2 linked regions of the Notamacropus eugenii genome follow. The protein of the gene in region 1 binds, or shares a complex with, the protein of each later gene. Links are inferred from orthologs where the notes say so. Each region holds a gene or a part of one and is shown on either strand. Other genes may lie near its edges.

What was found.
Region 2: PRKG1 (region 1) and CNN1 share a complex: the UniProt entries of both Homo sapiens proteins name them as parts of the cGMP kinase signaling complex. The link is inferred for Notamacropus eugenii from reciprocal best matches to the Homo sapiens genes PRKG1 and CNN1.

Annotation. Positions count from the first base shown.
Region 1 is NC_092872.1:278,293,733-278,301,618, forward strand, and holds the start of PRKG1 (cGMP-dependent protein kinase 1), read right to left. Parts: upstream 3,004-7,886; 5' UTR 2,900-3,003; coding exon 2,556-2,899; intron 1-2,555. UniProt on the Homo sapiens protein: Serine/threonine protein kinase that acts as a key mediator of the nitric oxide (NO)/cGMP signaling pathway. GMP binding activates PRKG1, which phosphorylates serines and threonines on many cellular proteins.
Region 2 is NC_092875.1:78,383,357-78,390,701, reverse strand, and holds the start of CNN1 (calponin-1), read left to right. Parts: upstream 1-4,338; 5' UTR 4,339-4,452; coding exon 4,453-4,515; intron 4,516-6,596; exon of another isoform or gene 6,597-6,648; intron 6,649-7,345. UniProt on the Homo sapiens protein: Thin filament-associated protein that is implicated in the regulation and modulation of smooth muscle contraction. It is capable of binding to actin, calmodulin and tropomyosin. The interaction of calponin with actin inhibits the actomyosin Mg-ATPase activity.

The sequences.
Region 1 (7,886 bases):
GACCGACTATTTCACTACTTATCATTTGAATTGATCACTGGGCTTCTGAAAACAACTGCCATTTCCCCCTTCCTAATACAAAATCACAGTTCCCTCTGCATCAGCCTCAAGTCCTACAGAAGCTCTGGCCTCAGGCTGCCCTCACTCCACAATCAGCTCAGGAAAATCATACCCATGGACTTCTTTTCCATTATGCAAACTTGAACCAGAAGGGAGATAGCCCCTGCACATCATTAGATGAAACAGGCATGCATGTCAGAGCAGAGAATTAATTTAACAGACAAAGTTAGAGAGGGTGCAGGTCACTCTGCTCTCCAAGCCAGAGACATCAGGCAAGCAATCAGGTCAGCATGGACAAACACTTAACTTAGCCATACTCTCCTCACCCCCTCACAGATGTGTGTTTTTCCTTAAGCTGGGACAAGAAGAGCAGACTGAGGTTGGCTGTCGAGGACCGAATATTGCAATCCTTAATTACATGAGCAACAAAGGCATCAGTGGCATTGGACATAAAGGAGGATATTCCAAGCTACCAAATCAGTAAAGGCTGGGAAAAGCAAACACCCAGTCCTTCCCCTTAAATTAACCTGTTGTATCATGTGTAATGAAAGGAATACGGAGTATTATGTAACACATCACCTACCGAGTACTCCATGGCTAGGAATAGGATGAGGGCAGCACCATGTAGTGGCTAGAAAACCAAAGCCCTAGATCTGAGTTCCACTCTGTGCCTCATTACATGAAACAGGCATGCAAGTCAGGGCAGAGAATCAAAGTAGCAAAGAATGCTAAAGAGGGTTTAGGTGCCCCCAACTGCCAAGCCTGAGCTGTCAGGCAAACAAACTGTCAGAATGGACAAAAACTTAGCTACACCATCCTCGCCCAACGCATTTAATTGGGTGGCTCTAGGCAAGACACTTAATCTCTCTGCCTCCAGCAATTCAACTCTCTATCTCTTTAAATTACAGGTGAATTGCAAACCTTCTTTGGTAGAAGGAGTTGGCACACTGGGAATTCTTTACATGAAAGAAACAAAGCCAAAATAGAGCATGGCAATATCCTGCCTTCTCCAGTCATGTCACATGTTTACTGAAGTACTGTATCCTTCCTTGGCCAGTTGTTTCTTATTGTATATATGCTATATAATTGTGGGATTTGGTTTCCTGATTTCAACTGAATCTATCCCTCTGATCCTCTCCCTCCCCTTCCTCTATCTCTCTCTGTCTCTTTGTCTGTCTCTCTGTCTGTCTCTCTCTGTCTCTCTGTCTCTGTCTCTGTCTGTCTGTCTGTCTCTGTGTCTCTCTCTCTCTCTCTCTCTCTCTCTCTCTCTCTCTCTCTCTCTCTCTCTCTCTCTCTCTCTCTCTCTCTCTCTCTCTCTTTCCCTCTCTCTCTTTCCCTCCCTCCACATTACCTCATGCCACTGAGATCAGGGCTAGTCATCCAGGGCTAAAACATGCCAGCACAAGACAGATCAAAGTAGTGAAAACGGTCACAGGAAGACCAACAACCAGTCCATTTACAACTGTGATCAGATCTGACACACTAATGTGCGTTTCACACTGGAAGTAATGCAATCGTTGTAGGAAAGCAACTATGCCACGGGAACTAAGCACAGTTCTCCCTTAGAAGGAACAATTACAATTAGCAGCCTGCCTCTGTCTTACTTGAAGCAAGTTAAATTATATCAGGAAATCGAACCCTTTAAAAAATATGAACTACCTAGTAGATAAATGTATTCCTTAATTATGATAGAAAACATGGATCCAGATAGTTTCGGCATGAATCAGTCAACAATGGAGGGATATTCGAGACAAGTACAGAGGCTCACGTAGTGAACCAGAGAGGGTCTAGTTCATCTTGGCCATTTCAGGTTTTTCGGCTGGACACTTCTGGCTGCTTGGAGACTTGGATAACTGAGGAGGAAAGTTCACTCTTTTCTTCCTCTTTGCACAGACATACATACGCACACATATACACACATCTGTCCATTCTGAAACCTCAATTCCAAGGGATTTCTCTCGGCTTTCTCCGAATGAGATCTCTCTGTCCCTCTCCTTACGCTTATTTCGGTCTCCTTATCCATTTCGCCCACTTTGACCCTCACTCTGTCTTATGTTTCTCTGTCTCTCTATGTGTTGGTCCCTAGTACTCTCTCCCTCTCTCTTTCCCTCTCGACACTGTCATTGCCAGATATAAAGGCAGAGGCAGATAGGAAGGCAACCGATGAGTGAGGGAGGGAAGAAAGGAGGGAGGGAAGGACTGGAGATGTGCAACAGACTGAGACATTCAGAAGTGTCGGTGGGTCCCTCTTTAGGGAGATGCGAAGGAGAGAGAGAAGCAGCCGTGAGAACCCCTATCGCGAAGGCGGCCAGGCGTGCAGGCAGCTCGCCCCTAGGCAAGGCAGACGAGCCCCGAGCGTCCAGCCAGGCAGCTCCCTGCGGGGCAGCGCACTGCTTAGCCCCGCGAACGCCTGACCTCCCTCCCAGCCCCCCGGGGACAGCGCCCAAGCCTCCCCCCACCCCCCCAACTCCCCCGGTCGGGCCCAGCCCGCTTACTGGGGGCTCTTGGGGTAGAAGGGCAGCGTCACGTGGCTGAGGTCCTGCAAGTCGAAGGCAGTGGGCTCGGCTGAAATAGCCTGGCGCTTGGTGCGGGGCTCGCCTCCGCTGCTCCCCGCGCCGCCGCCGGGCTGCGCCGCCTGCTGTGCCTGCGCCGCCTGCTGCGCCTGCTGCGTGGCGGGCCGGATCACCGAGCGGTACTTGTCCAGCTCGTTCTGCAGCTTCTGGATGAGCTCGTCCTTCTGGTCGAGCTCCAGCTCCAGCTCGTCTATGAGCGCATCGCGCTGCCTTAGCTCCTCGATCTTCTCCTGGAGCGCGTACTGCAGGTCGCGCAGCGTGCCCATGCTTGCTGGTCCTTGGGGCTGGCCCCGGGCCCCCGCTGGCTCGGCGGCGCGGTGCCCCCCGCAACTTTGGGCAAAGTCCCCGCCGCCGCCGCTGCCGCGGGCGCTCCTGCTCCCCCCGGTGCCCCCGGCCCCCGGCCCCAGCCCGGGCACGGGCAGCGGCACGGGCAGTGGCACGGGCACAGGCGGCAGCAGCAGCGGCGGCGGCGGGCAGCGGGCGGCGAGTAGCCGCTCACTCCCGACGGGCGGCCTGAGCTGCCCCCTCGGCGGCCGCCGCTGAGCCTCTGCTGCTCCTTCGGCTGCCTCTACGGCTGCCCCGGCCCCAGCCCCGGCCCCGGCCCCCGCGCCCGCCGCCGCTCCCGCTCCCGCTCCCGCCGCCGCCGCTGCTGCCTCCCCACTCCCGAGCTCAGCCCGGCGGGGCCACGGAGCATGCCCAGTCGGACGGCCGCCCAGCGCCCTGGAGACTTTCGCTGTGCGGATTCCGCTTCTCGGGGCGGGGGAGACGAGCCCTGGAGCCCTGGCGAGGGGGGCGGAGCTGAGCGCTAGCTTGTGCCCCACCAGAGGTGGGAAAGGACTGGGAAAATGAGGGGAGGGCGAGGGCACAGGGAGGGAAGCAGGGTACTGGACTTGGTCGAGGTCCTGTGGCTGGCAGGCAGAGAGGGAGCCAGGGAGGGAGGAAACAGAGTGAGCTCCAGCCAGCGGAGGAGGAGAGCAGATAAGTGCCTCCTTGGCCCCCGGGGAGGGAGTTTTAGGCGGAGCTAGCCAGACAGCATTTATGGGGTACGCGGCGTGGGTGGGGTGGCACACTCCAGGCGGGGAGAAGTGAGCCCCTGGAGGAGTTGCGCCCGTCCTGGGGAAATGAAATGAGGCGAGCGAACAACCTGCTGTTCACGGTTGACTTTGTCCAGCTCCAAAGCTGGAGACGCCGGAGATGTTGAGGAATGTTAGCCGAGGCTGGGATCCGCAAAGGAGAGCGGCTCCCTGCCCGCCGGTATCCAGCCCAGTGTGCCAGGGCTGTGCGCCTTCACACACACACACACACACACACACACACACACACACACACACACACATGCGCACACTTACACACACACCTCACCTGCCAGCCCTATGTTCCCATCTGCAGGTGAATCACACCTAAAGAGAAAACTTGCAAGAGATTGAGGGAGCGATGCAAAAGCAGAGTAGATGCCGATGGATGGAGCAAAGCCTTCGTCCGTACTCTTCCTCCCCCTCTCCCCGTTTTATCCCCTTTCCAGAACTGTCTACGACTCACTCCCTGCCTGTCGTGCTACCTACTTTGAGCCGCCTCCAAACTGAAATAGAAAGAGATGGAGATGCCTCGGGCAGCCTAGGAGGAATACATTTGGGGCTTGACGCTTGGCGAAGCGGCTGTTTCTCCCTTCTGACTCCTGCCATACTCAAGGCCCTCCTTCCTGCCCATCAGAGGGTCTCTTAAGATCCTTTTACTCCCTCCAATTGTCATGGGGTAGAGGGAGATCACTGCTGAGGTACAAAAAAAAGTGTATTTTAAAAATAAGCCCTACCCTTCCCAACATCATATCTCCTCCCGCACTCTCCCTCTCCGAAAAAAACTAAGTTTCCGGGACCGTGATACAAATCTGCTTTCATAAGAGACCCAGCAATGAGCCCAGAGACAGGGACAGGGAGGGAGTGGGGGACGGGTGAGGAAGAGGAGACACAGAAACCGAGAGACTGAAGACAGAGACTTAAAAGAAGAGAGGAGACCCTGCAGTAAAATGAATTTCACAACCTTTCGCCCTGCCCCTACTTCAGCTCTGGAAGAATAATAAAAAGTCCCATTTTAGCTTTTTCCCTGGGGGTTCTGTTTGGAGATGCTGTATTTAGCATGATTTTTCTGCCAAACATTTGATCTCCGCCCCACCCCTCACCCCTCACTCTGTCTGCTGGATGGTCCTTTGTGTACAGAGGACTCCACCGATGGGCAGTATCCAAACAACTCTCAATATTCCCCAACTCACAAAGGTTCTGAGCATATTTACCAGACCTGCGCCCCACAGTTCATGGGACAGCCAATTTTATAGCCATAAATAGTGGATTTGGCCACTTGCTTGAGCCTTTCCTGTAAGACTCTGAAAACAAAACAATCCTCCCCAAACATAAAGCTTTTGAAGGTGGCTGGAAATCTGGTGTCCTTTAGTGCGTGGTATGGCAGATCATGCCATATATCTGAAACCCTATCTGGCAGCCTTCTCCAGTTTGGCTTTTTTCTAATTGACTAAATCAGGGCTTTCTTTCCAGAAGACTGGCTGCCAAATGGGGGCTGTCCAAGGCATGTGGCCCCCAGGTCAGCTGCAAGGAGAAATGCTGGATTGCAAGTTACATTGAAGAATGGGATTCCAATCTGCTCTGGCCACTGCCAGTGTGATCTCACTTCTCTACGATTCATTTTCTCCTCTAGAAAATGAGGAGGCTCGACTAAAGGCTACTTACACATGGAGAATCAAGGAGGGTGAACATCTTTTTGGAATAATTCAGGATATCTTCCTCCCCAAAGACCTTTCACCAACTATTTGGATTATATGGGGGGTTGGGGGGAGGACAGCTCCCTAAAATGCACTAAGACTTTTGGGTCACTGCTTTTAGAGCTGAAAGGAACAATACAGGTTCACTACTCCAACCTCCCATTTTACAGAGGAACAAACTGAGGCTAAGAGAGATGAAGTGACTTGCACAAACTCCTACAGTAAATGGCAGAGCCAGAATTCAAACCCACACCCTTTAAATTCAGTCAGAAATAAGTTTTGTTCTTGGATTATCCAATTTGCCTCAGTTACACACACACACACACACACACACACACACAAACACAAACACTTTGTGTAGTTACAACCACAGGGTGCATTTGGACCATATTTTAACATAGGAAAAATGCTACAAGCCTGGAAATGATCTTTCTGGAAGCCAGTGCCTTGTAAATGTTTGTTCAGCAAATGGATAACAATAGACTGTATGGTATATGCATGCAGGGATGTCTAGGTGGGAACTTTCTCAACCAAGGCTGCTTACAAACCATTTATGACTCATTAGAAACATGCGTGGCGTTTGTCTGATGCTTACAAGTTGAACAAGTTTAACTTCTCCAGTTTTGATTTAAAGAAGAAATCCCAGAAGAAAATGTGACATTATCACTTCACCACATTAAGAAGAGTACCAAGGATAGAGATCTATCTGTTATCTTGGGGTGGGAGGAGTGAGGGATGTGCTCCTTAAAACACTATATTGTTTTTATCTATTCTTTTATATGCACTTCTGCTATCCAGAATTGTATGTTTTGACTCAGTTTCCTTTGGAATCTTTTAAAGTGAATAGTTGTTTTTATTTTGTGTGACTGTCACAGTATGAGCTCTCTGAAAGTCTTTTTTGGTCTCAAACTATAATTTGCTTCTTCCCACACACATACTTTAACATCAAAACACCCTGCAACGTGACAGATCTGTTAAGTTAGAGTTTAGAGCATTTGGGGGGACACTGAACAGTTCAGTGACTTTTCCAGAGTCAGGTATCTAGGATATGTCAGAGACAGGTCTTCCAGTATTCCTTATTCCATGACTGCATCTCTACCCATTAGACTACTCTGCCTATTCTCAGCTAACAAAAATTATTAGATGCCAGTTTGAGCTTCCATGTTGTTGTTGTTGCTGTTTTTGCCAAGACTAGCAAATATTTTTATACACAGGCATATTCTCTGGAAAACCATTTCTATAGGTCACAGTAGTGACTCCAGTTTTCCTATGCAGTTTCTAGGGAATCTATGTGATTAACAGTCATACAACCAATCACTCCCCCCACACACCTACCAAAAAAAAAAACAGTACAGGTACTTGTAATTCAAAAGGCATACCTATTGGAGCAAGCGTATAATATAGCTAAAAGAGTGGGACACCAAGGAGACCACTGTTCAAGTCCCAACTCTGACTTGCTGTGTAAACCTGAGTGAATTACTTCACCTGAATTTCAGTGTCCTACTCTAGTAAATGGAGAAAATGAAGCTTAGGAAAGGACACAGGTTTTAAGGGAGAAGAAAACCACAAATCCCAGCTTTGTCCCCTGACTACCTATGACCCTGAGCAATCATCACCAAGCATTTATCAAGTACTGATCATATTCCAGGTGCTAAGAGAGTAGCTGTGGATATGAAGACACACAAAGTGAAATAAACCCTGCAAGTTGTTTCTCCCTCTTTAGGCCTCAGTTTCCACATTTGTAAATTGATGAGGTTGTATTATTTGATCTCTCAAGTCTCTTCCAGATGGATTCTATCTCAAAAGAGTTTAACCAAAAACATTCTGTAAACTTGAAATTGCTATGTAAATGAGAGTTGATTGGTCGGTTATCACAGAGCTAGAATGGACGGTCCTTTGATGTTCAAATGCTCCTCTCCAGAGCAAAGAGATGGCAGAGTTCACACCTCAACTGCCACTGCTTTTCTTTTTACATTTTACATGAGGTAAAAATTTTTGAACATCCAAATTAAAGTTTCCCCATCTGTAAAATGGGGTATTGGACTGCATGAACTCAAAGTCCCTGTCAGCTCTCAAATTCAAGGACTCTGTGCTGGGATCTAATTAATTTTCACTACCCCATTCACAGAGGTAATGTTTGACATTTATATCAGGACACACATCAACCAACAAGTATTTATTAAGCACCTACTATGTGTCAAGGTGGCTTAGTGGATAAAGAACTGGTAGAGCCCCAGTTCTACCACATGCAGGCCACCCCAGGCAAACTCCCATCTCTCTAACTTGGAGAGCTGGTATGGATCTACATCAGCAGAGGGAGGCCCTCACTGAGAGCTTCCTACCAGTGAAATCATGGGTCCAATCCATTCCTGCTCTCCCCTGCAAAAAGCGTCAGACATTGTAGTAGGTGTTGGGGTTTTGAAAGAGCACCTAAATTATTGCATCATCATAAGCATTTGTGTCGCAATTAACATTTGCAAAAC
Region 2 (7,345 bases), on another chromosome or scaffold:
ATGACACTGTGACAGATTAGTTCTGCCTGGAGCAATTAGACTCTTATGGGAAGATCCTTAAAAGATAGTCATCACACCTCTTTTCCTTCCCTTTTCTTCTGGGACGTTCTGGAAAGCACAATAGTTGCTACCTAAGAGCAGCTTTGCAGAAGCACATGGCAAGGCAGACATATTCTTGCCTGAGTAGCCTGAAAGGGAAGTTCCCAGATCAAGTTGTTTCTGGACCTTTGCCTTTAGTTGTAGAAGGTGGGGGGGCGGGGAGGGGAATTTCACAGGCATAATTCAGAAATCTGTCCTAGCCAGAGAAGAGAGATTTCCTGGGCAATACCAGTATTAGAGGTTACCTTTGCAGCAAACCCAAGCATAAGAAGAGTCCTAGAATCTAGCCTTAAGACAGAGCCTTAGAGACAGAGAAGAGGATCATGAATCTGGCTACTGGTACTGGGCAGAACAGTGGCAAGGGACCAAAAGCCACAATATAGAGGACCAAAGGGCCTGGAATTTGTACTCTGCTATTAAAGGTAGCTATGCAGACAGTGAAGGTCATCTGGAAAGTCAAGTGATCCAACAGCACCAAATTTCCCTTCCAGGGGGAATAGTCTAAGACTACTAGGTCCAGAAAAAAATCTACACAGAAAGCAAAGATGGTCCAATGAATCTGGGGAGCTAGGGGAAGGATAATACATTCTCTCCTGTGGGAAGAGGGACACACCTGAATATTGTAGGGTAACCCCACCAGGGACCTCAACTAAATATTCCTTTGGAGTCTAAACCACAGGCAGGAGCTTCTGGTATGGAGGAATTTAGGACCCTGGTGGAAAAAAATTCTTTTGATAGTTTATGAGCTATTATGAGTGGTTTAATGTGTGTTCTGAACTTGTTTATGGGCTCCTGAGTCCTTTGTATTCTCTGCATTCTGCATGTCTTATTGAGGGATAAAATAAAGACTACTCTACACTGGTTAAATGCATTTGCCACCTTTAATACTTGTAGGGGATCTGAGGAGCCTTTTATATACCATTTGTAGACCTAAATGGTATTCAGAGATTTCCTGGAGTAAACTCTGGGAAAAGGAGAATATTTGGGCCAGGCCCCAAGATCAGACCAAGTCTGTTTAAAGAGATTGGGGGTAGGGGAAGGGTCCTGGAGGGGACACAACTATAAATATTACTTAGACTCTGCTTTTGAGGAGCTTACACGGGTTCTGGGTTCAAATAGTGACATTGCTACTTGCAAACTAGGTGATCTTGCTGCAAGACAACTAAACTCTTAAGAGATAGAGAATGGGTCTTAGAGTCAGGAAAGACCTGGATTCCAGTCCAGTCTTAGACCAGCTGTGTGGTCATAGGTGAATCTGTTAACCTTTTGGTGACCCTCTTAGACGGTAAGTAGGGGATGAATTGCAGACCTCTATCAATGGGAGAAGTTTCCATACTGACAGTTTCCTATCACAGTGAAATCACAGGTCCAGACTAAAACAAACAAATAAACAAACCAAAAAAAGAAATGAAACTGAAGGGATCAGACTATGTTATGTGATTGCTAAGGTCCCTTGCAGTTTTAAAAATTATGAGTTGGACAACATAAATATCACACATGTCAACAGAGAGAGGTGAAGAAGAATTTAAAGTTAGATAAAATTTCAAATAGAAAAAAAATTAGAGCTCATTCCCCAACTAGAATATAAGCTCTCTGAGGCCAGGAACTTGTTTCCATTTTGAATTGGTGTCCCCAGGTCCTACCATAGTGCCCTTCACAAATAAATGCTTGTTGGATCATTTTGCAGGTGGAGAAACTGAGGCCCAGAGAGAGGTTAGGTGACTCGTCTATCCTCAAGCCATAAAGGTAATGAAGTAAGTAGCTTACAGTTCTAGACTTGGGGGCAAGGCCTGGGCCCTTCTAGCTGGTCTGATCTGTGACCCCAGCTTGTCACCTCTTTCTTTCTCCTTGCCTGGGAACAATGTAATGAGCCCTTTTAGAACCAAAGACAAGAGGGATGTGTGTGTGTGTGTGTGTTTGCCCATTCATCGCTTTATAAAGAGATGATAAAACCTCTTACTCCATGACAGGGTGACCACCTGTTCCTTAGTGGGGGTGGTATGGAAGTGACAATGCCTATTGCTGAAGGAGGGTCATTACTCAGATGTTCTAAATGTACATTGATGGTGAATCACTCCAACCTTCCCAGCATCCCACTCCCCATTATCATAACTGGAAGCACTTAGCACTCTTCTCCCTTCCTATCAGTCATCTTCCCATTGTACCAAAAAGAAAACAGGTGGAGAGGGAGGCTTGTGAACATCTACAAAAGACCTCTCATCCTACCCACCAATTAGGGCTGTCTTCCAGGTTTTCTAACATGGCCTCTATACCCAGTGTTCATAGAGCTTTATCAGATTATGCTGAAATCCCTAAACCCCCCTCCACTAATCCTCATTAAAGATGAAGACCGATTGGGAGGCAAGGGAATCCACAATCATGGTAGAAGAAGAGACAATTTTGTCCTGGGGTTGGGGGCCTTGGTTTCCCTGAGGGGGGGTGGACACTCTGGAGGGCCTCAAAGTGGGCCTTTCCAGGGGTAGTGGCAGTAGGGGCCTCAAGGGATCACATCCTCCAAGCCAGGCTGATGGTGACTTCAGAGCTGAAGAGGTCCATTCTATAAATGGTGAAGCATACAACAAAAAGAAGAGAGGGAGGAGAGGATGGCCCACAGCCCTGACGCTGACGCTGTGTTAGTCACCCACAGACATCATGTCCAAGGGATTTAGATTGAATAGCCTTTTACCCTGGTACACGATCCAAGTTCCTTCCTTCGGCTCATTCTCATTCTTTTGCACAGTACTAAGAGTTGGGAGTGGCCTTAGAGATAATTTAGTGACCTCACCTAGGGATTCCTCACCTAGGATTCCCTGGACTTGTTTTTAGATATTTTGAGAAATGTTTTCCAATAGGATTTAGCTTGCTTTGTAGCCCTACGTACTTGTTTTATGCATTTCAAAACAGGATTTTTAGAAGAGGTCCACACACAGGCTTCACCAGACTGCCAAGGGGGTCCATGACTCACAAAAAAGCTAAGAACCCTATTTTAGTCCAACTATTTCATTTACAGATGGAAAAACTAAGGCTAAAGGAGGTAACACGCCCCAAGTCTCATGCTTAATCAGTGCCAGAGCTGGGATTTGGATGGAGACCAACTCCAAATTCAGGGTTCTTCCTACTGTACCCCACTACTCTCCCTTGGTGATCCCTTTGGAGGGAAAGTTCCCTCTCCTTGTTCTGAACACTCATGGCTTCCCATCCCCCCTTCTCCAATGCAAGGGCAGGATTCCCAGAAGGGGAGAAAAGCTGCCCAAGGGGAAAAAAACCACAAGTGTTTCTGCAGAAAAAGGAGAGCCTTATAAGGTGGAGGGGGGACCACATAAAGTCCCCTCCCCATCCCATCTCCCAGGGTGCTGAAAGCTTCCAGGAAGCCTGAGGGGGACCCAAGACTCAGAAGCCAAATTGGCCCTAAAGAGCCTGGGTCTTGACTTGGGCCAATTACTCCCCTATTCTCCCCCTTACCCTTTCTGCTGATCCACAGATGCCCAGGAATTGAAGGCAATGATGGGAAGGTCTTAGTCCTCGAACCCCAAAGGGTGGAGGATGAATAAAAGGAGGAAAGGGACAGAAAGAGAATCAGGAGAAAACAGGGATTGAGAGAGATATAAACTCATCAACTAAGACAAAGCTTCTAGAACGCAGGAAAGATGTTGAATAGGTGCTTAATAAATTCGGGTGGGACTTAACTGCCCCAGAGACAGTCTTTGACAGCGTTTATCTCTGAGTTCATCTCTGTCTCTCACTATAAAGTGACCTCCATCTCTGGAACGGTCACAGAGAGAGACAAATAGACACAGAAACCCAGTACAGAGTGCCAGACATGGGCAATCCATAGGGTTAACCCAGCCTATGGGGGGGATGGTGCCTGTTGTCTCAGACTGTCCCTGTCCCCAGCCCTATTCCCGTCTCCAAATGGCTAGGTCCTCCCCAGGAATTCTCAGCTGGTTACTCTTCCACACTCCCCCCACCCCCCTTTCTGGGCTAAGAATGACTATAGCCGGGCCTCCCCTCCCCTCCAACATCCCTCCCCCCACCAAGGTGGAAACAATGACTGCATCGGCTCCCAATACCAGGGGCCTGACATCACGGGGTTGGGGGAGGGGGGTGGGGTGGGGGAGGGGGGACTGGCTGACGTGGGGGAAGGGGAGGGGGGGATTGCTTCTCAGCCATTGGTGGGTCCTCTGGCCCAATGAGACAACCAGCCAGGGCTCATATGGGGAAGCCCAGAGTTCCAGCTTTCAAAAAGTTGCAGGGAAAATTTGAGGCCACTTCAGCAGCAGCAGCAGCAGCAGCAGACAGGCACCAGGAGAAACCCAGGCCAGGCTCCCCTCCACCGGCAGCAGCACCACCAGGATGTCTACTGCTCACTTCAACCGGGGCCCTGCTTATGGACTGTCGGCTGAGGTCAAGAACAAGGTAATTACCTTAACTCTATCATCTCGCTCAGTTTACCCAGGGTAGGATTCTTAGTCCTTAGCCTCCAAGGGAGAAATGTCATGTCCCAGGCCCACCTCCTGCCTTCCAGGCTCTGAGTTTCTTCCTCCTCCTTCAGTACTCCCCAGCCCCATCACTCGCTCTGGTTCTAGGCACCTGGAGGGAAGGATAATAAGGAGACTAATCCAGGGAGCCAGGCCTAGACCAGGGAACGAGGGCCACTGTCCTGAAGACCAAATGAGGGTCATTCTTGTCCAGCTCAAGCCCTGGATCTTTCTACCCACACCCAAATGAACTACCCGCACCATTCACTAGCTTCTGAAGTTTCTGGTCCAAAACCTGCCAGTGAGGAGTAATGGGGGCTCCCCAACAGTGATGAGATCTGAGTGAGACGAAGAGGAGAGGAAAGGAGAGGGTTTGGAAGGTGGAAGGGACAAGATGGAAGATGGAGGGGTGGAAGGGTCAGGGGAGAAGGATTGGAGGGGAAGGAGAAAGGGCAGAATGGGCAGAGGGGAACAGGAGACAGAGATTGAAGGGTCAAAGGCCTAGGCGTCGAAGGACTGGAGCAGGAAAAGGGTGCAGGGGAGAGGGCCAGAGTCTGGAGAAAGAAAGTTTGGATGGGCAGTAAGAAGGAGGGGATAGAGAAGAGAGGTTAGTGGAACAGGAAGTCCAAGACATGTCTGAGGGGTCTAGGTTGTGGGGTGGGTCCTGGTGCCTGAGGGAGAGAGGGCCTCAGCTGAGTAGGCCTTTTGAGGGAGTCCGGATTTGCTCAAACACCAATCTCATAACACTCCTCTTGGGAATATCTCCTCCCTAGAAGCCCTTACCCCCTGAGGACAGGATTTTGTGCCCTACTTTGTACCCTGTAGTTCAGCTTTTCACACCCATTCTCTTGTATAAGGTTAATCTTAAAGAGTATGGTGGGTGAAAGAAGGAAGAAGGGGATAGATTCCCCATGGGAGGAGAGGTACCAAACAACTAATGGTCCAGGAGAGGCAGGATCCTTTCCCTCAGCATCCCCCATCAGCCCCAGCTGAGGGCATCCCTCAGCTCCAGGGCCACCTGCAGGGAGATGCCTTGACCAGTAACTGAGAAATTTTAACTCTTCCACTATCCCTCATCAGACAGATATTAAGTCCTGGACCCCCGAACCCCAACATGGGGAGCAAAGCTGAATCTCAGAGGTTCTGAGTGACAATGAAAAGGCAAGAAGATATTAGGAGGCATTGGGACTATTTGGATACTTGGTTCTGAACTGTTATCATGAACTCTTCTAGAGCTCTGGGTTAGAAAACTCCCAAGGAGGTAGATCACCTTGTCACCTGCTTGAGCTTTTCCTGTTCTGGACTCCCAGGAGAACAGACTGGCTATGTTTTTGATGACAGGTGGCTGGGAATACCCAGAAAGGCCAACCTGTTGATAATGATGGCTAGCAGGAATCATCTCCACCCCATCCCCCAACAAGAGAACATGGGAGGCTTAAGAAGTTCAGACTGACTTCCAATCATTGTAGACTCCTGTTTATCCTCCAAATCCCCCAGGAACCTTTCTTCCTGGGTCTCAAATAACCTCACAGAGCAGCACTCTTCCTGATAGCCCCTGTCTCCTTTTCTGATGGAAAAGCTCAGTTCTTTGGAGAAAGAAACTTGGATGGGGGGAGGAGGATTGATCTTGGCTGGTGGGGCTGATGTCTTAGCTGGGTGGGAGAATTTTAAAATCCCAGACCAGCAGGAAAGGATCTTAGAAATTATTTTGTCTAAACTTCCTCCCTTCTCAGACAAGAAAACGGAGATTCCCCAGGGAATAAGGGGTCTTCCCCCCTCCCCCTCTCTTCCCTGTATAACAGAATTGGGAGAGAGGGGGAGGGGGGAGAACTTGGACTGCCCATCCCCCACTGGGACCCAGCTCCAGACTACCCCCTCTCTCCCTGGAGCACCCGGCAGAGCAGCCTCTCCATATAAGGATGCTCTGGGGGAAGCTGGGCAGGGAGGCCCAAGCTCTATATAAGGGCTGGTTTGCTTTATAAAGCAAACCGGAGCTGGAGGAGAAGTGGGGGCTGGGGGACCAGAGGGAGGGGCCGTTGTACAGGCTGGCAACGGATGCTCCTCAGGCCAGGTGAGTAGGAAGAATGGAGAGCTAGGCCCCTCCCCTCTTGTGGGAATCTGGCCCAATCCTTCCTCCCCCTCCTCCTTACCCCACTGCCCTGCCAGGGGCAGATCAGGCACTGGGCACCCCCTGCTGGCATGTTGGAGACTAAGGGGGCAGTGCTCAGGGCAGGCTTTCTACTTCCAACCCTCTTACTCCCTCTATCCAGGTCCAGAAGCCTTGGGGGAGGACCTGGGAGGTTAGTGGCCAAAGTGGGTGTTGAGATAGCCAGAGGACTTGTTTAGCCTAGTGAGATCATGATGGCACCATGTCTACATACTCTGTCTGTTAGTCTCTCTCTCTCTCACACACACACACACAAACACACACACACACACACACAAACACACCTCAAAACCCAGCATTGCCATAGGATCACCTGTCTTAGAAGCTATCAGCCATCTATGGAATTCCTGGTTGAAAGACTGGAAATGACTTCTCAGGATCTTCTCAACTCTGAGATCCGGAGATGTAGTTACAGAGGACTGGAGATGGAGAAGGTAGAGAAAAACAAGCCCCAGAAAGATGGCCAGACACATAGCTATCCTTGCATACTAACACACACACACACAGAGAGAACCCTAGGGAGAGACAGGGAAAGAGGAATGGGAAGGCTGCAGAATTAGGACATGCACAGTGAAACCCAGTGGTTGGTATGACCTCAAAT